Astyanax mexicanus: one gene and its partner. The protein of the gene in region 1 binds, or shares a complex with, the protein of each later gene. Links are inferred from orthologs where the notes say so. Each region holds a gene or a part of one and is shown in the gene's direction. Other genes may lie near its edges.

The links.
Region 2: the proteins of rad9a (region 1) and hus1 are in contact, whole or in part, in a crystal structure (PDB 3GGR), measured with the Homo sapiens proteins. The link is inferred for Astyanax mexicanus from reciprocal best matches to the Homo sapiens genes RAD9A and HUS1. Residues at the interface, in NP_004575.1 of Homo sapiens: Leu157, Pro158, Pro161, Val176, Ala186, Lys191, Ala192, Met193, Val194, Thr195, Glu196, Met197, Cys198, Leu199, Gly200, Asp203; in NP_004498.1 of Homo sapiens: Thr84, Asn87, Arg90, Ala91, Lys93, Thr94, Phe110, Ser121, Ser123, Ser126, Arg127, Ile128, Val129, Thr130, His131, Asp132, Ile133, Pro134, Ile135.

Annotation. Positions count from the first base shown.
Region 1 is NC_064417.1:22,987,301-22,997,699, reverse strand, and holds the start of rad9a (cell cycle checkpoint control protein RAD9A), read left to right. Parts: upstream 1-5,452; 5' UTR 5,453-5,768; coding exon 5,769-5,802; intron 5,803-7,358; coding exon 7,359-7,429; intron 7,430-7,522; coding exon 7,523-7,645; intron 7,646-8,414; coding exon 8,415-8,529; intron 8,530-8,789; coding exon 8,790-8,889; intron 8,890-9,015; coding exon 9,016-9,122; intron 9,123-10,399. Other genes in the region: zgc:113229 (protein starmaker), read right to left, coding at 1-623, 937-1,100, 2,796-3,515. UniProt on the Homo sapiens protein: Component of the 9-1-1 cell-cycle checkpoint response complex that plays a major role in DNA repair. The 9-1-1 complex is recruited to DNA lesion upon damage by the RAD17-replication factor C (RFC) clamp loader complex.
Region 2 is NC_064408.1:108,691,624-108,701,428, reverse strand, and holds the start of hus1 (checkpoint protein HUS1), read left to right. Parts: upstream 1-5,767; 5' UTR 5,768-5,868; coding exon 5,869-5,920; exon of another isoform or gene 5,921-5,924; intron 5,925-7,456; coding exon 7,457-7,584; intron 7,585-8,313; coding exon 8,314-8,490; intron 8,491-8,750; coding exon 8,751-8,858; intron 8,859-9,203; coding exon 9,204-9,278; intron 9,279-9,805. UniProt on the Homo sapiens protein: Component of the 9-1-1 cell-cycle checkpoint response complex that plays a major role in DNA repair. The 9-1-1 complex is recruited to DNA lesion upon damage by the RAD17-replication factor C (RFC) clamp loader complex.

The DNA of each region.
Region 1 (10,399 bases):
TAACATCTTCATGCTGCACAGTTTCTGCTTGTGTTTGGTTTGGTTTAGGCAGTTGTGACTGGTTCAGAGTGTGTTGATTGGATGGCGACTCCTGAATACTTGTTTCTGCTGTTTTTGGCTGACAGTTTTGATGCATGTGACAGTTTTGATGCAATAACTGTGGCTGGTATTTTTGTTGTTTGTCATTTTCTGATTGGCTGAGACCCAAATCCATGCTGTGCGACTGGTCTAAACTCCAGTCAAAAAGTTCTGATTGGTCCTTGAGTAACTGGAAGGTTTGAGAGAAGGGCAGAATGAAGTCTGGAGTCTGTGTTTGGTCCATGGTGTGGTCAGAGGTGTGGTCAGAAGTGTCCATATCCTGCTGTAAACTGTCTGAGCTGATTTGTGATGAATCGGTTCTCAGATCTGAGGCATGTGGCCATTTAAAATCCCACATACTTCCTGTGTTCTGCTCTGCTTGATGTGATTGGCTAATATTGCTTTGTGAGTCTGTGGCTTTGTCTTGTTTGATGCAAGTGGGCTCTAATTGGCTGCTGGTACTGGACGGGAAGAACTTGGCCCACTCCTGACTGGTGAAAATCTCCTCCATCAGGTTAAAAGAGTCAAATGAGAATATGGGTTCACTGCAGGAAAACACAGCATAAGTTATGCATGTATGGACATGTATTGTAATGTAATGTATCTACTGTAATATAGGTCTAAATTACTCACTCTCCATTCTCCCTCACCCACTATTACTCAGTCACACACACACACACACACACACACACACACACACACACACACACATACACACACAGCAAAAACTCAGAGGGTGTGTTGGTTTCAGAAAAGAGAGTGACAGCGGTGTTGTTTAGGATGACAGCTGTGGTATGATAAATACGCCTGATTCATATTTCAGCAGAACAATGTCACTGCTATTGAATTTGTATTTACCTCATGTGATCGAGGGGGCTGGGAGGGGCTTTATCAGGCCCATTGTTGATTGGCTGGTGCTGGTCAATCCTTTCCTCGTCAATAAGTGCAGCAGCAGTGTTGGTGGAGAGTGCGTTTTCATTGGAGGTGTTGGGGCTGGTTGGGGTGTTTGGACAGTGGTTGCTCTGAATAAAGAAGAAAATAATGAAGAATGATCGTAAATCTGATTATAAATCTGCTTAAATTAAATAAATAAGCGCGTATGTATGAGTCAGAGTCTCAGTAAACATCTATAAGTAAAGACAGAACTTTCATATTTGTCTATGACAAATAAGTTTGCTTGGTTTTTATAGCAGCCCACACACAGAGCAGTCCACCGGGAACTGTCCTATGTACTCCCTATGGCCAGTCGATCTTTGGTTCTCACATAAGTTTCACCAAAGCCTCCAACCTTATGCTGCTTTAAAGTGTTGTCTAAAACGCGATAATACTATTTGTATTCTACAAACTTTGTAAACTGCAAACTTTCACCTTTGTTTTCAAACTAAGTTTAATCAGTTGGGATATAAAATCTTTATGCATAGTGGGAAAAAATGCAGATTTTTCTTCTTCATCTGTTAAATATGGGGGTGTATAAGTCACCCTTTTAGATTGTTTTGCACGCATGGAAAAATAAATTATTTAAATGCAGTAATATCACCACTAATGTTGATTCAAATTTACCTGCAACATTTAAGCCTAACCAGTTTGGTTTTGTGTTACCAATACATTGTTTGTTCTACACTTGTGGCTTTAATTAATGTTCTAATGGTCCGTGAAGAAAGTTCATATTGCTTGTGTTAGAGATAATGCTACTAAGCATCACATTTATCATTGAAAGATAAGAAGGCTATGATAAAAGGCCTAAAATAGACTGAAAGGGTTGCCACTCTCATCTTTTATTCATCTTTATTCACTTTCTTCACCTATCCAGTAAGCAAATATCAATTAGACTTTATCTATTTATTAAAACAACAGTAAACATGTTGAAAAAATAAATTATGCCATTATTCAAAAGCTCAACATTGTTACTGATATTAAAGGGTTTTTTATAGAGTATTTTACAGCAGGATAATTATACCAAACTTTCATTAAAATCCCCAAAGCAGTGCAAGCTGGTTTTACTGTGGCTGTTCAAACAAAACTTCCTAGAAAATACTTAAAAATAGAACTCAAAAGAGCAGCACGTTCAAGATAGCCCAAGAATCCCACAGAACCAGAACTTTTTGAAAAGAAGAATGGACATAAATCCTCCAAACAAGAACAGAAACAAGATTAGCTGGATTAAAAGGTGTTGAAAGTAAGGAAAACTTTCCTTACTTTTACAACTATTGACCATGCATCCCAAACATTTAGATCTGTGCTTTTCCTTTATAAAAGTTTAAAACTGTAAAAAAAAAATGGAAATACAAATATATTCTTGCTTAAAATATCATCTTTATGCCATTTTATGACTTCAGGTCATCTTTACTTTCATCTTTTTGAGTTGCCAAAATTTCTTCATGCCTCTGTAAGTAGATGCATATACTGACATGCCAGGAACTAGTATAATTTCCCATTACATTTTTCATATTGAATTAAAGCTAAAGAACACTGTATTAACCTAATGAGGAACATGTATGTGTGTCTGGTCTCCTTCATTGAATATGAATGTGATTGTGATTAAGCTTGTTTGTTCTCATGGATAATTCTAGCCAGACACTGCTGGTCACTATTATAACCACCCACTGCAGTGCTGTACACTTAATTTCAGTGTATTTGTCACGTCGTATATATGTATATTTCTTTATTTTTAAGGCATATTAAAGAATAGATTCAAGAATCTTAAAGTTTAAACTCACGTTAGGCACTTCTTTTGGTTCCTCTTTCTGTTTGGCACCTCTTTCTTTCTTGTGTCTCTCCTGCCATCTTTCTTTCACCTTCTGGGTCCATCTCTTCTGTCCTGAATTGCCCCATTTCCTCTTACTGGTCCTTGTCATTGGCGTCTGTGTCATTTTGTCTTCAGCATTTATACTGTCCCTTCTGGAGTCCCCTACACCTCCATTCCACACACCACTGAGACCATTTCGCTCCTGTGATGCTCTTCTGCCTGGGGTGGGTGGTGTGGGGGGTGGGACTGAGGAGCTGGGGGAGTTCAGGGTGGTCTGTTCTAATGTGTTTGTGGAGGACATGCTACGTCTGTCATCACTCACCTTTCTCAGAGTAAATTTGAGTTGCTTTCTCTCCCATTTGGGGAGATCATCATCATTCATTGACCAAGAAACAGGTTCTGGTGATGTAGGTGAAGTCCCAGGACTATGAGGCTCGCGAGATGTTTGAAGACTCCATGGACTCCCCACGTGTCTCCAATTGGATGGAGAAGTTCTTTGCTGCTTAGAATCAATGGAATCACCAAACTGGTACACAGCTGAACCTTCTCCAGACCCGCCATTAAGCTTCACATTTGAAGAAAGAGCTTGCTCTTGGTTGTGTGTCCTTTCAGTTTGGGTCTGGAGTTTCAGTCTTTGGAGCATTGACTGCAGCAAGGTCTGAGTGTCTGAAACAGGGCTCGACTGGGCCATCTTGAAAGTGAAAGCCTGCCTTACATGTTTTTTGCACACTCTCAAAGACCTTCAACACAACCAGATACCAGCAAAGTACTACATCCCTCACATACTCACATACACATCAATCAAATCCTGAGGCACATCCCACAGCAAGTCAATATGCTTCAGTTTTCCAGTTTTCTTACTTCCAGGTTCTTCATTATATTCCACTCATAACTCCTCACACTGTAGCTCCACAGTACCTCCTGGTACCTCCACACTGCTGCAGTTCCTTCTACATTCTGCTTCAGCTTCTCAAAAAGAGTGAGAAGAGTGAAGTGTGTCTGAGAATTGGCCCCTATTATAGGAAGGAATCATCAGTGTACAGAGAGAGAGAGAGAGAGAGAGAGAGAGAGAGAAAAGGCCAGGCCAGTCAGATAGGTAGGTGTGTTAAAGACAGACCCAGACAGACAAGAAAGACGAGTACGTCAAGTTGACATCTCTCCTTCTTCTATGGCATGTATATCACTGTTTCTATTTTTTTTCTTCAGGTCACTGTCACTGCAAAACCAGAGCTGTGTTTTAATTTGCCAATACATTGGAAGAATAATCCAATATATAACGTATATGGTATATCTTTAAGTAAAATGAACATTGTTTTTTTTAATTCTATAAACTATGGACAACATTTCTCTAAATAAAATAAAAATATTGCCATTTATAGCATTTGATTTCAGAAAACCAGAAATAGCGCAAATAACAAAAAAATGCAGAGCTTTCAGAACTTAGTTACAGAATCTATAATTAGACAAGTATTTAAACTGATAGACTCATCTGTTTTTCAAACTAAAAAAAATGATTACTCATTGTTTTCATTCCACTCATTGTTTTCAAGCCCAATTACATTCTGTCATGAAATCACTCCAACACCATGCATAGAGTATTCCACGTTTGCTTTATTTTCCACTAACTAGTACAGTGTGAGCTAACTTAACCCGCCAAGGAAGCCAAACCCCCCAGCCAACTCCTGAGCTGCCCACCAGGGATACTGGGTATTGTAGTATGGAAACATATAACACACATCACCACACATTCTAAATATGAAAACTAATGTTTAATGTTTATTTTTTTTTTTTTTTATAAAACAAATGTTAAACCAAGTGGGTTCAAAAACAGGTGGAAAACGAAAACGGGTGCGAAACGGAAAACAGGTGGAAAATTAAAACGGGTGCATAATGGAAACAGGTGCAAACTGAACACGGGTGGGAAACAAAAACGGGTGTAAAGCGAAAACGGGTGGAAACAAAGATCACGCCAGGCATAAGCGAGGAAAACAACAGGCAGGGTAAACAAAGGCTATCCTGGGACGCAAGACAAACACAATGGAGAGAAGCACGAGGGAGGAGGAACCAGGGAGAGAGGAGCAGGGGCGTAGCAGCAAATTCTGGGCACTGTACACTATTAATGTCATTGGGCCCCTATTCATGCCAGTACACAATGAACATGAAAAAAAAAATAGGATTTTTATGGGCAGTTAGGGTAGTTAGGTTCACTTTTAGGTTCACGACAGGGAACACCCACTGAGGAAACTAGTTAGAAACATTTTAAACTCAGTGCTGTATCAGTTTAGCTAACTACATACCCAGTCACAGTAGCAATACTGCTAGTAGCTCCTTTAGTGATTATAACCGTTTTTTGTAATAAAAATAAAACATACAGAAATGTTTTATTTGCTCTTTAGAGAAATATTCATTCTACTTTCTAAAATTAAAAGAATACCACAAATAAGTAGTTAATAACTGCTTTAAATTTGAGATTTTAACCGTGTAGCTTTATTCACCTGTATTCATGTAGGACTCCCTCTAGCGGTGCACAGTAATTTTCTGATATATCAGGGGTGATCTGGAGTGGACAGGCTCTCTGTAAACAAGCTGTGGTAGCCGATACAGGCGCGCGAGTATGACTCAGAGCGCTGTGATTGGTCCGGGCGAGGTTAGCGCGCGACTCAGGGGTCTGTAAACTGACAGCAGTGTTTAACTAAGTTTCTGAGATCAATATTAGTAGTTATTTACTGTTTTACTGTTATTATTACACCCAGATATTCTCTCAGCATGGCGTGTTTACTCACCGCTTCTCATGAGAACACGCGGGTCTCCTCCTTCGGGGTATGAGCTCTGCTCTCCTGTTCACACTGTAGAGTTACTGCATGGTGTTTATTTACCTGATCCGGATTAATGGAGCCGAATCTCTGACTGGACTGGTTTACCTGAACGCTACAGCAATAGCAGGATGGACTGCGTCACAACAGGAGGGAACGTGAAAGGTAAAGTAAGCGGTGAACCTGGTCTCGGTGAAGCTGCAGTTACTGCTTCAGATAACTCTATATTAAATCTTGTGGGGCTGCTACTAACGATTATTTTGGTAGTCGATTAATTGGACGATTATTTTTCAGATTAGTTATCGATTATTTCTGCCCTGCCCTCTAGCTTTGCTCACTGTGGGTATGGCTTCTGTTTCTAGCTTTCTCTATCGCTTCAAAATAATAGAAACATCTGAACACAAGATATAAATGCTGTTTAAATCTCCAGAGCTTTGGATAAATGTGTAAAGTGCTGCTATTGGGCACTTTTGGAGACTCAGGTCGAGTTCTGTGTAAGCTGTGTGAGCTCAGTACTCTTCTCCCACTGGGTTTCTGTCCACAGTAATTTGTTTAGTGTTACTAATAGGCAATTAGTAGACAATGATTATTTGAAGTCTACACGTTTTTTATAATCAACATTGTCGATAACATATCAACTAATGGCTGCAGCCCTAATAGCATAGAGATGCATCGATGTGGCAATACATCTGTCAATACTAATAATATACACATTTATAATTTACAGAGAGACTAGATTATCAATTAACCCTCTATGTCATGAATTCCATTTTTCAGAAGGAAATGAGAACTAAACCCCCTGATTTTAGCTGACTGTACCCCTCAGCTCAAATTTGGAAAATGCCCAAAAATTGGAGTAGTTTGGGAGGGGCATTTGGTGATGTATGGGTTTAGGGGTGGGGCAGAAGGGAGGGCTGATTAGGCTGAGCAATGTGTCTTATTGATTGACTAATTTGCATATCGAGAGTGTCCACGTTACAAAATTGCAAGGGTGCAATAAAAGCATTTAAAGGTTAGGGAAGGTTTATAAAAAAATTAGGCAGGACCGGTATGTTTCATTACTTTAAAGAAACTCATTTCAGCTACTAATGAAAAAAAAATATGGTTTAGGCCTTAGTGCCTCTTTAATGAAGAACGGAAAAATCCCTAAATGCAAGTGAGATAGCAATATATTTACAAAACAGGCTCTAGTAACATTGAGTGAGAGTAAAATATAACTTGTCACTAGCATTAGCCTGACTGATGGCTTGTTTTAGAACATTTAAACAGAGTTGGTTGACTTACTGGCCCACATTAGAGGGTAGCAATTTAGCTTAAATATAGTAGCGTAGCCACTGTTGGCCAAATGTATTAGTGCGGCCAGTGTCATGTGGTTCTTTCCGGAATACAATAAATACGTCAAGTATTGGTCTAAAATATTAGCCATATTAATTGATGCCGATGATTATAAAAAAGGTATAGGTTCAGCAACGGTATGTGCTGAAAGAATGAGGTTAGCTGACTTCCTGAATATACTGAATATAGACCAGGTCTTTCCATCAATGGATTTTTTTCTTCCCTGATGGCACAAGCATGTATTTAAAAAAGTGTATTAAACGTTATTTGCTGTATAGGAAATAATAAAAAATTATTTTATCTATAATATATCTCTATATAGTGTTTGGTGTTTTCAGTGTGTATCTTTGTATGTCATTTAAGGTCATGTCATTTGTATTTTGCAGTGCTGGCAAAAGCAATCCACTCACTTTCAAAGATTGGAGAGGAACTTTACCTGGAGCCTGTTGAAGATGGGGTTAGTGTTTGTGTATCTGTATAAGTGAATGTGGTTCAAGAATATATTGTAGTTTGGTTAAAAGTGCTAATTAATTGTTTTTGTATTCTACAGTTAACTCTGCGTGCAGTGAACTCTTCTAGATCAGCCTTTGCCTGCTTTCTGCTCTCTCCGCTGTTCTTTCAGCGCTATCAGGCCCCTTCTGACCATGCCTTCCGCTGCAAAATGCCCATAAAGGTAACAACCACACTTTCCTTTCCACTGTAGTTTATCCCGAAAAACTGTTCTAACAGATTAACAGTTTAACTGATTGATTGAAAGTTTTGAAACATCTGACCAAAATTGTGTAGATGTCCTACAGTCCTGTTACAGATACAGTCTGAGTAAACACATTATGATGTGTTGTTTTTGACAAGGGATATAGAATAACATCAAAGCAATATTGATATTGGCAAATAATTGCTTAATAATTGTTTAATCATTACTGAACCAATTAAAAAAAAAACACTTCTATATAGTATTTGCAGCATTAGCCTAAAATTTCCATACTGGTGCTTGACTAATATTTATGCATGCACAAAACCTGCAGTATTTGACTTTTAAAGTTTTAGATCCAAAATACTTGTGCACATTATGCGTTATTGCTATTGCAATAGGCCTGTCGCGATAACTACGTTATCAACTTATCGTACAATCATTTTTTAAATCGCAATCATTTTTGCAGATCGTCGATAATAGTCATTGGATTTTCGCATAGGTTTGTTAACATAAGAATAAACCGCAGCTAGAATTCAGCAAGTTGCGCTGTGCTGCTCTTTCGCCGGCTCTTTTGGGAGCCCAGAAGCAGGGAAAAAGCATTTTCTGTTGTGGCATTTTATACTGAGAATATTATCATTTATCTCAATCATTTCTGGCACAATATATCGTCCTGAAAAATGTGTTTATGCGACAGTCCTAATTGCAACTTGTGCAGGCCATTAGTTGTCTCTCTTATTCTCCCTTACAGAGCATGCAGGCCGTGTTTAGGTCTCTGTCCTCTCTAGAGCGCTCGGTGGAGAAGTGTCGTATTGAACTGAACAGTGAGAAGAATCGGTTGACTGTCACTTTACACTGCAAACATGGTAAAAACACTTCACATATGTACTTGGGATGTAAAAATCCACACATTATCATGCTTTTACATGTTTTTTGTCAGACGTAAAAATAAAGTTATGTAAAAATTATGTAATTTGTTATTGCATACTGCTAAGTAGCTGCAGTTTGGTTTGTAAGTTATTGTAGTGTTAGAGACTTAAAGTGGTTATATACCATAAACATTAGGAATTGCCACCTTTAAAATATATCAGATGTACCTATGTTTGTGTGTGTCTGTGTGTTTCAGGGCTTTTGAAGACACACAACCTCTCCTTCCAAGACTGCGAGAGCTTACAAGCAGTGTTTGACAAGGAGAACTGTGCTAACGTGCTGCGAGCCCAGCCCAGGTCTGCACTACTCTTTGAGTCTCTCTATTTCCTCTATCAAAAACTCTCCATCACGGCATCATTTTCTGACCAGTGTCTCTTTTCTCTCTGGCCCTCTTTGATTGATTATACCTCTCCTGTTTGCAGGTTGTGGGTGGACACAGTTTTGCACTTCCCTCCATCACTTGAAGAAGTGAATGTGTCTGTGAATGGAGAACGAGTGTGGCTCAGGAATCACTTGGAGGATGATGCAGGTGATTGGTTTGGGAGAGTTCCTGCTTATTTTGTTGTTCAGGAGACAAAGACAGCGTTTTTGTTGGGGTTACTTCGTCTGGATCGTATCTTGATACAATTTTAGCTACATACATTTACCCTTTGTAGTCCAGTGCATTGGTCAGACAAGGTCTGATTCTTGTTTGGGATGTAATTTGCTAATTATTTCATTGTGCTGCAGTGATTGTGATTGGTTTAAGCCAGGATGGGTTTAGGTTTCTGAACATGACTTGTAGAGGCGGGTGTGTTTAGGTCTTGTTCAGGCCCCAGTTTCCCAAAAGCATCTTCGTGTTAAGAACATCTTAACATGGATAGAGAGTGCTCATTGTGAAGTGCGCTTGACCATCTAAAGCCCTATTTGGACAGGATTAGTTTCTCAGGGGGTCCTGGGGTAATTTGATCTTTTATGGAGGTCCTCTGTGATTTTATTTCCATCTGTAGTGACCAAGTATGTGTTTTTTTTACAGGCTGATTTAATGTTTTTCGCTGAACTCCATCCAGTTCTTTGTCTGGATCCACATCTGAGTTTAGCACCTTGCGTTTAAAAAAAAAAGAAACTAATTCTGTCTGGATAGGGCTTAGGAATTACTTTTATGCTAAAAAAAAACCTTTTGGGAAACCCAATCTAGGTTTGTTTCTCACATAAAACCTGTTAAGATTACCTTTGGCACTTAATTCCCTGACACCAACAAGGTCATTGTTTGATGCTTCCAGAGTGTCTAGACTGAGCTATATCTATCTCAGGGATATATATATATATATATATATTTATGTATATATATATATATATATATATATATATATATATATATATATATATGTGTGTGTAGATTGTATTTGCAGACTAGCTTAGGGCTGTGTGATATTGTAAAAAAAAATAAATTAAAAAGCAATTCTCAATTACAATTTAGATTTTTAGTTCTTACATACCAACTTTTTTTTAACAGCACCAAATAAAGTGATGCATGGGTTATTGTTTACTTTACATTTCATTTCAAAATATTTATTTATTTATTTATTACGAATAGTAAGCAGACACCTTCAACCTTACATACAGTTTTTATGTTAAACACAGTGCAAACATAACCTCCTTGTATTTCAGTTAAGGACAACTGTAAAAAAATAAAATCACTGCCACAAAAATTATTTTTGACAGGTTTGTGACAGAAGCACAATCTACTGAAATTTCCATCTGACAGCTTCTGTATGTAAAGGTGTACAATCTTCATTATCCCATTTTGAAAATAGCATAAAAATT
Region 2 (9,805 bases), on another chromosome or scaffold:
GAGAAGCATATAGAAAAAAACATTGCTGACCCATTATACCATGATTAGCTCAGTTTAATTCATAGAATGAAGTATCCGTTGTCTAAATCATCTGTCTATATATAATATTTCCTCAGAATGAGTTAGATATGTTGTCTGTGTTAAAGATAAATGGATACTTGCCTTGGAGCGCCCTCTTGTGGGTTTTCTCAAAACCAGAGAATTGACAGATAATAATTTGGCCTGATGACCCCTGTGATGAGCAGGTGATTAGAATATGACTGAATGAAATGAGCTGAGCCCTTTTAACCCCACGGGTTACAGTGATTTTTATTCTGTATAATTTATTCAGCAGACAGAAGCTGAAGCTTAATGTGACATTACCCTCATGAGATCCACGCTTTGTAGCTTGATAAATTCATAATGATAGCACCTGGTTACTGTGTCAAATGAGCAGAAAGCAGCTTGTGAAATAAAATATCATTTCTGTGAGGACAGAGTGTTAATGTCTTCATGACTTGATATTGCATTTTAATCTCCACAAACATGAACTGGACATGTAATAAATACAATAAAAAAGGAAATTATTTGCAAAGAAATACAGTACAAATAAAAACACAAACAATCTGAATAGTAAATGTGGTTTACTAGGCTGCCATTGGTTTGTATTATTATTATAAATAATCTTAAATGTTAATGTAACATTGTGCCACTGTTGTCATACGAGTGCATGATGCTTAAAATGCTTTTTTCAAAAACTGTTTACACAATTTTTAGGTGCAGTTTTTTTTGTAGATTGGTAAATATATGTGCATTTTTTCTGTCAATTTAAAATGCTGTTTCTATACCAATTTTTGTTTCTAAATGTTGTAATGTTTCTCATAAAATGGTAAAATGCATTTGATGTTCTATGTTTTATTGTGAATAAACCCATTTATATACATTTTTTTACTTTTTACACAGCACTCCAACTTAGAATTGAGGATGTAATTTAACAGGAAAATATGGTTTGTGTTTCTCCTGTAAGATGAGTTGTCCTGCAAGTTTTTCCTATATAAAATGACCTGTCTATTTTTATCACTATACATATACACACATATATACATACATAATTTCTTAGAAGTAAGTACACCTCTAGCATATTTTTAAATATTTTACTATATCTTTTCATTGGACAACACTGAAAATACAATGTAAAGTACTTTGTGTACAGCTTGTATAACTGTAAATTTGCTGTGCCTTCAGAATAACTCAAGACACAGCCATTAATGTCTAAACTCCGGCAAGAAAACTGAGTAGAGCAGCACTGCCTTAACTCTCTTGGGAAAGGAGTTCACTAGAGCTTCACAGATTGTCACTGGAATCCTCTTCTACTCCTCCATGATGACATCACAGAGCTTGTGGATGATAGAGGCCTTTCGGTCCTCCACCTTCTGTGTGAGGATGCCCCAGAGGTGCTCAGTTGGGATTTACATCTAAAGACATACTTCAGTCCACCTTTGTCTTCAGCTTCCTCAGTAAAGCAGTTGTCTTCTTGTGTGTTTGTGTTTGTTATCATGTTGGAAAATTACATCCATACATATGTACAGTATTTTACTGCTGACACCACTAGATACTAGCTAAAGCTGTCCTAATTTCAGGAGATCAGCTGTAGTGGAAATGTGTAAATCTTTTTGTACCACTGTCAGTCTAACAACCAGTATTTGAAACAAAACAAAAATAAAACTATAGAGTCAAAAACTTCTTTTTAAAGTTCCCTTATAAAAATCAAAGATAAACATTACACTTGACTCATAAAGCTCGGTTAAAAACTCTGTTGCAGCAATCTGGCTACTAACATGCATGAGAGGAAACGACATATTACTGATGGAAGCCAAAAATACAGAAATGTTCTGTAAAAGTTTTACATTACTAAGTTATGCATTTTAGAAAATACTATAATTATAAATTCTCATTGAACATATTATAGCCTTTTTAACTAAATTATTATTTTTTAATTAATTAATTATTCAAATTAATTAGCCCATATGTGACTCTTACATGAGTTCTAAGTTGACATGCACACCCGGTCAAAATGTAATATGCAATATGAAGATATAGGTTCACTCACAGCAATAGAAAATAAAATGCCACAGAGGGTAATGCATGTGCATAATGCATTCCCTTCCTCACTGCCTGTGAGACACACACACTTAGATGTAATCTCAGGCTCTCGTGTAACACTTGCACATTTTCTTGCACATTCATATTAAATCCTTGATCTTGAAATGACCTCAGAAGGGTTCCTTCCGCAGCTGCTGCTCCATCTCTCACTGATTTAAGAACACAGTTCCAGCAGCAGTAGCGGCCTTTTAAAGAAGTGAAGGAGATCGGTAACTGGCCAGTTTGTCACTGTCTGCCCAATGTGCATTAAATCAGTGCAGGTGGACTGGTATCCATAGCAACAGTGACCAATCAGGGTAGCCTATAGAGGGGCAGGTCACTCCTGGGATGGTGAACTGGATGCTGTGCACCTGCTCGTGTTGTGACCTTCGGCTTTATGCTGTACGTTATTTGCATGCCGGAGTCCAGGCTGGAGATCAGAAAGGCTGCATCTCCTCACTGTTGCGTCACTGTAGGCTGTTCTGTTCAGTAGAATCCTTTAAATGAAGCCAATAAACATGTTCTTCATTGCTGAGGAACTGAAGGATGTGACTGTTGTGTCCTTTAAGATAAAAATCTACAATCCTTCACATTAAACACAAAATTTGCAAAGAAAGTATATTTTAATCAGTAGTGCTCGTCACTCTACTGATCATGATTTTACTTTACGATTGCGGCGTCCAGAGATGTCGGTTATGCTACAGGTTGTAAACAGTGGTTTTTAATAAGCTTCTTGTGCAGTTCTTAATAAGTTCTTAATGCCTCATCGTTTTAAATATCAAGGCTCTCCTGATTCTACCAATGAGGTGTGGAGCTACTTTGAGCCTGGATAACGGTGTAAAAAGCAAAGCAATGTATCTGCAGGGGCAAGAATATGCCCCATATCACCCTGTTTAAAGGGTGTTTGGACAAATAGATCAAAATTGCTGGATTTCGAAAAGCTGCAGGAGAACAGAGTGGGAAATTCAATAAAGGTTAGTAATCTTTAATAAGCTTTACTACAACCAAAGTCAATTTCACACCAGAGTTCTCCTTTAATTATTTTAAATGTTTGGATTTAACATATTGCTGAGTCAGTTAGTCATGATGTGTCAGTACAGAATACCATTTTTCAAAATAATGACATTTTCTCTGGATAACATAAAAAAAAACTTAAAAAACTTAAAAAACAAACATTTTGTAAAAATCATCTCCAAAGCGTATAAACGCACAAGAAAGCAGACTCAACATAACCTCTCAAAATCTCAAAAAACACCTAAAAATAATATCATAGCAACATGCTATGTATAAAATCTTTTAATAACAGTGATATGATTTTCTTATATTTTAATATATATATAAATTATCAACAGCATCTGTCCCTGACTGATGTTCATTACAGGGTGCAGTACATGATTTGGCAAAAATACTGTTCGAAAAGATGTGGGTGTTCTTGGCAGTTTTTCTAAAACTTTTATATTGTTCATATTAATAAAAAAATATATCATCATCCGAAAATGTAAAAAATGTGACCAAAAATATTGTGATATAATTTTTAATCATACAGTGGTATGAATAATTTGGGCACCTCTGATAATTTTTATGATTTTCCTTTAAAAATCATTGGTTGTTCTGATCAGCAATTTCAGATAAATATCATATAGCAGATGAACACAGTGATCTTTGAGAAGTAAAATCAAGTTTATAGGATTTACAGAAAGTGTTAAATAAATCTTTAAACAAAATTAGACAAGTGCATAAATTATCCCTGTATCATCCAGACAGTATTTATATTTTTGTGGTGGAAATGGGCCTGATTGTGGTCACTAGGCCGCAATAAAGACGTGCTGGTAAGCGTTTCACCCAGCTTCTTCTGAACACCTCCAGTACTAGGAAGCATATAGAGAAAATAGTTTCTTACACATTATACCATGATCAGCTCAGAAAGGTCCTGCAGTCAAAACTTCTAGACACTAGAAACGTTTCTTTCAGTATTTCACTCTTGAAACTCTTGTTTCATGTTTTACTTGACCTCTCATTGTTGCAGATACCATATCATTTTCTATTGCGTTGTATTTTTTCTTGTAAATATATCTTAGCTTATTCTTTTCTATATTGCTTTTTGCTGCTGCATTTAAATGCCTTTTTCTATTCAATGGATCAAGTGAAGCACCTCCACACACACTTTTATATGCAGTAAAATGTGACTCCCAGCAGAACTGTGTGAACAACCTGTATTTCAACATCTCATAAAGCAAATCTATAACCTGTGAAAAAGGGGACTCTCTGCTGCCACATTTAATGAGGAACATTAAATCACAGAGTCTCAGCATAAAGTAGAGCCAGCAGTGTATTTTTACTGTGTACTGCTACTGTGAAATCCTGTGTAACAGAACACAATGGCCACGGACAGCATACTTGACTCAGATTTGAGAGATGTTAAGTGTTTAACCCTTTAGACCCATACTTAAGTTCCTCATTCATAGAAATAATAGTTCTATATATCGGTTTAATTGGTCCTCAAGATATGCTAAACCAATCAAGTGCAAATAAAAATAAATACACTGTTTCACACTTTTTCTTTAACTACTATTTGATTGCAGACAGTACTATGAACCCAAGACATTTCATGGTTTGTATGATGTCTTTTTAACATTCATTTAAAAGCTTTCTGACCAATGGTAAGATGGTCCCTTCTTATATGTGAGGCCTGGTTTCTTTCTCCTCCATATTCTGAAGGAGTTTTTCTTGCCTCCGCACTCACTGGAGGTTCTGTATTCTGTATTTTTTTTGTTTTATATTTTGCCTGATTCGCTGTCCTGTGATCACATTTCTGTAAAGTTGCTTTGTGACAACAACAGCTGTAAAAAGCACTATACAAATAAAAAAAATGATTTAATTTGATTTTATATTATTCAGAATAGACATTTTTACTAGCCAATCAAACAGCAGATTAGCCCCACCCACTTATTTGGAAAAAATAAAAATCTGCTCACTGAAGTATGACATGGTAGCTAACATTCCAGCTAATATGGCCATAAATTAGACACCTTTTCCCATCATGTTATGGGTATTTTACTGCTCAAAGATTATAATTTGATTTATTTATATATTTTACCATGTTTGTTGGACAAAAAATTAATACCATGTTACAATATATATATATTATATTAAAATATATATTAAATACAAATAAGTGTTTAGCAAAGACGGCAATAAACAGAAAAAATACAAACATTATATTTGATTATTTTGTATTTATTTTTTATTTTGTGTATTTGTTCACTGAATCCTGTTTTTGAGCACATTACAGACAGAAACAGCATTTATATTTCTTTTTTCATCAGGTCTGAAAGGCTTTAATAAAGGTTGTTTTCATCATTAACCTTAAAAGACCAACCAAAAAAACACTAATTTAGGTAATCTAGGTAGACTTTTTTGGGAAAAGGATTTAAGTTATAAGTATAATGTATAAGTATAATACATTTAATATATATTTAGTATAATATATATATAGTATAATATATAGTATAATTTATCTGAATTGATACTGCAGTAGATTTGTGTAAAGATAATATATTTAACTGGTTTAACTCTAAAAACAGAGCTGATGTGTAGGCTGTAACTGGAGCGGAACCAGTGATCAGAGTGTTGTTTCCAGAGGGAGCGCTGCTGTGTTCAGATCAGTGGCGGGCTGTCAGTAGTAGCAGTAGATGTTGTGGGGTAGTAGTGTCAGCAGTGCGGGTTTACTGAGTTAAAGGCATAATTATGAAGTTTCGAGCGAAGATAAACGACGTGGGATGTCTCAACCATTTCACACGTAGGTAAAGAGATAGATACCGTCAGTAAAACTGACTGTACGAGTTTCTAGTTGCGCGGTTTTAGTGTATAAGTGCATAGATACGCTAGCTAAGCTAGCTAGCTAACTAGCTGTGTCTCTTAGCCCTCAGATATTTAGGTTAGCTCACGTTAAATATTTTGTAACGCTAAGTAGTGTAGATAGTTCATGGATATAGTGGATCTGGATATCTGGATAACCTAGCTTGCTAACTAAACTACACCGATATTTGTTCCATGTCAAATATAGGTTACAGTACCAGTCACAAGTTTGGACACACCTCTTCTTATTTAATATGTTTGATTTTTTTTAGATTGTAAGTTAAATCTAACACAGAAGACAGTAGGGGTGGGTGATATGGCTCTAAAATAATATCACGATATTTCATGGTATTTTCATGATAACGATACTTTTGATGATATGACAAAACACTGAATTAGAAAAAAAATATTTAGAGTTTTATTATTGCATGCAATATGATATGGCTATCTGAGATATAATAAAAAAGAATTTTATCAGATTTGTAACAGAATGATTCAGAATGTCATGATACTAGCAAAGCACTCCAAATATCTCCATATATCCAGGATTAAGTTATATAATCTGTCTATAGTAGATATAGTAGTACTATGATATGATAATTAGGGGTGGGTCATATGGCACGATATTTCAGAGTATAATATCGTTCACGATATAAAAAAAAATTGGCGATATTATCATGTATGATACGATATGGCACACCCCTAGAAGACAGTATTAACGTTAAATCTATACAGAAAAACGTGTGGAATTATTTAGTAAAGAAAAAAAGTGTTAAACACACCAGAATATATTTTATACTTTAGATTCTTCTAAGTAGAACATTTACCTTTGAGGACAGATCTGCACACTCTTGGTATTTTAATCTCAGTGTCTTCATGAGGTAGATTCAACTGGAATAGTTTTCTTAGTCCCTGTAGAAGAAAAGTGCCGCCTGCTGGAGCAGTTATACCTGAACCTATTGGTACCATGCCTAATGGCAGATGTGGACTAGAGGTGTATACTGCCCCCCCCAGCTGTATTGAGCTGTGTGGCAGTGGCAGAACCGTGTTCTCTAGAAGAATTGTTCTCCATACAGTACCTTTCGGGAGTTATGGAGTTTGAGGTGAAGTTTTTGATGATCAGCAATCCACACAGCAGAGACAATTTCTCCAGTTGCTTGATATTGTGAATTGGGTTAAATCGATGTAAAATGACATTCACTCTACAGTTGACCTAAAAACCACCTTTCCGGCACCCTTGCTCAGTTTGAGTCAGAATACTGTCATTTTGCTTTTGCTTTGTCAGTGTTATTGCTATCAGTGCTACCAAAGATTATGTTTCTACCTCTTTTGCTACAACACTACCTCCAATAAAGCTTTGGTGCAATCCTCTAATTCCTCAGTGAAGCATACTAAAAATTAAATATTGTATCTCAAAAAAAATCTGTGAAATATATTTCTTACATTGCTTTTATTCCCACTATAAATGTTTCTACAGGTGTGGTGAACACTATTACAAAACTCACAAAGACATGTGTGCTAAGGCTCACTGTAGACAACATGTACTTTGTGCTTTCTGGAAAAGTGGCCAATGGGGGAGTCAGCATGTGGTGTGAGTTACTACAGGTGAGTTTAAAGTGATTAAGCTGATGTTATTATGCGAAAGTGTTACAACTGTAGTTGCTAGAGATGGAAAACTTTATCCACTTTTTATAAGTATCAGATTTTTTTTTTGACAAAATATGTGATTGGCTGATAATTTAGCTAATACTGAGAGTTTGTCAGCTCGTGCTGTATTCATCATCCATATTTTCTTACTTGCTTAACAATGCAGTTCTGCAAAGGGAATTTACATGCTCTAATTTAATGTGGTTGATTCAGAAAAAATCTACAAATAAAGTTCATTTGATATAAAGGGAAATAGGGCTGCAACGATTAGTCGATTATAAAAAATAATCTTTAATTTGCAGCACTACACAAAGTACTGGGGGCCCTCACACAGTTTACACGCAACTCAGCTTGCATCTCCAAAACTGCCCAAACAGATTACACATTATCTCATTAATTATCAGCCCTTTCCACATTTAAAGGGCAAAGTTCTGGACATTTAAAGGACATTTAAGTCCCTTGTTCAGTTGTTTTTATCGATTTAAAGCAAAGACAGAGAAAGCTAAGATGAGGAACCATACCCACAGAAAGCAGAAATAGAGAGCATGGCAGAAATAATCATTGACTAATTGACTAATCAGAAACATAATCTCCAGATTAGTCAACTACCCAACTAATCATTAGTTGCAGCCCTAAATTAAAGATAAGCAGAGGAAAACTTACATGCTCTAATTTTACTCTTTTTAGGTAAATTTCTTTGAGGAATATCAGTTGGAGGGTGTGTCTGCAGACGCCAATGAAATCTGCTTGGAAGTTGCACCGGAGAACTTATCCAGAGCTTTAAAAACAGCACAAAATGCCAAGTCTGTCAAAATAAAACTAACAAAGAAGCATGGTCCATGCCTCACCTTAGCTGCAGAACTGGTAAGAGCCCAACATGAGTTTAATTATGTGTATAATTTAAATCATTGGCATCCATGGCATCACATTGAAATGTTCAATCCATTTTATTCAAAATCAATAAAAAAGTTAGTTATTTTTTCTATTATATTATTAGATTATTCGTAATTTAAAACAATTATCTATAAAGGTATTGATTAAATTCATCCTGAAGTAGCAACTGATCTTTAAACAGACATTTATCTTCTTCTGCTGACTTGATTTATTTGATCTTTTGATTCTAGCCTTCACTGTCCTCCATCAATCGTATCGTGACTCATGACATCCCTGTGGACATCATTCCCAAAAGACTTTGGCACGACTTTAAGGAACCTACTGTGCCGGACTTTGATGTAAGTGATCCACCAACAGTCTGGCCTTTTTTTGTCAAAAAAAATAAAAATAAATGTCACATTTTCTTATAACAGCATTATCAGTAACAGTAGACATTCAAACCCACATAAGCTTTGTTATAGTGCTACTGAGGTGAACGAGTGATTCTTAAAAACATTAGAATTCTCACAAAGTCTTTAGCAGGTAGTTCATAGCTAGGGTCAAAACTGTGATTATTGTTATTATTTGTCTTTTGTTCTTGGTAGTGCAGCCATTCTATTACCTCTCTCTTTGTTATACTGGTGGTATTTCCTTTTCTCTCCCAGTCACGGTATTAAACGTGTAACTCTGGCTTGCTTTTTTAGGTTAGCATATATTTACCCCCTCTGAAGACCATGAAAAGTGTGGTGGACAGAATGAAGAACCTTTCCAACTATTTGGTAAGTGTAATTAAATGAGACTTAGGCTATGTTCACATTACCAGCCACATTGCTTAAATCAGATTTCCAAATGTAAGTGAGCTGTATCTGTTTAATGTGAACAAATCTGTCCCTGAACCTGAAAAATCTCACATGCGCACATTAATACTTGTATAAACGCCTCCTTCTTCACCAACAACAAAAAACGTCATGTTAGAGAGACGACTCATAGTTTTATAAAGGGAAATGGATGAGTTAGCATCTCATATGTGGAGCATCTTTAGCTGGAGTGGAGAGTAAACAGTGATCGGGTCGAAGAGGAGAAAAAAGGCCAGGCTGTTTGCTTTTGCTGTTTTTACAGCTATAGCTGCACAGCTGGCACGGTCAAACAGACGTTGAAAAAAATCAGATCTGAGCCACACTGAGCACAAAATCAGATTTGAGTCTCTTCAGACTCACCCAAGATGGCGGCGCATTAACACGCAGCGGCCGCTCCGGGTCCGTTAAATGGTGCTTTTGTGTTACTATTTGTCGTTTTTTCCGTTTAA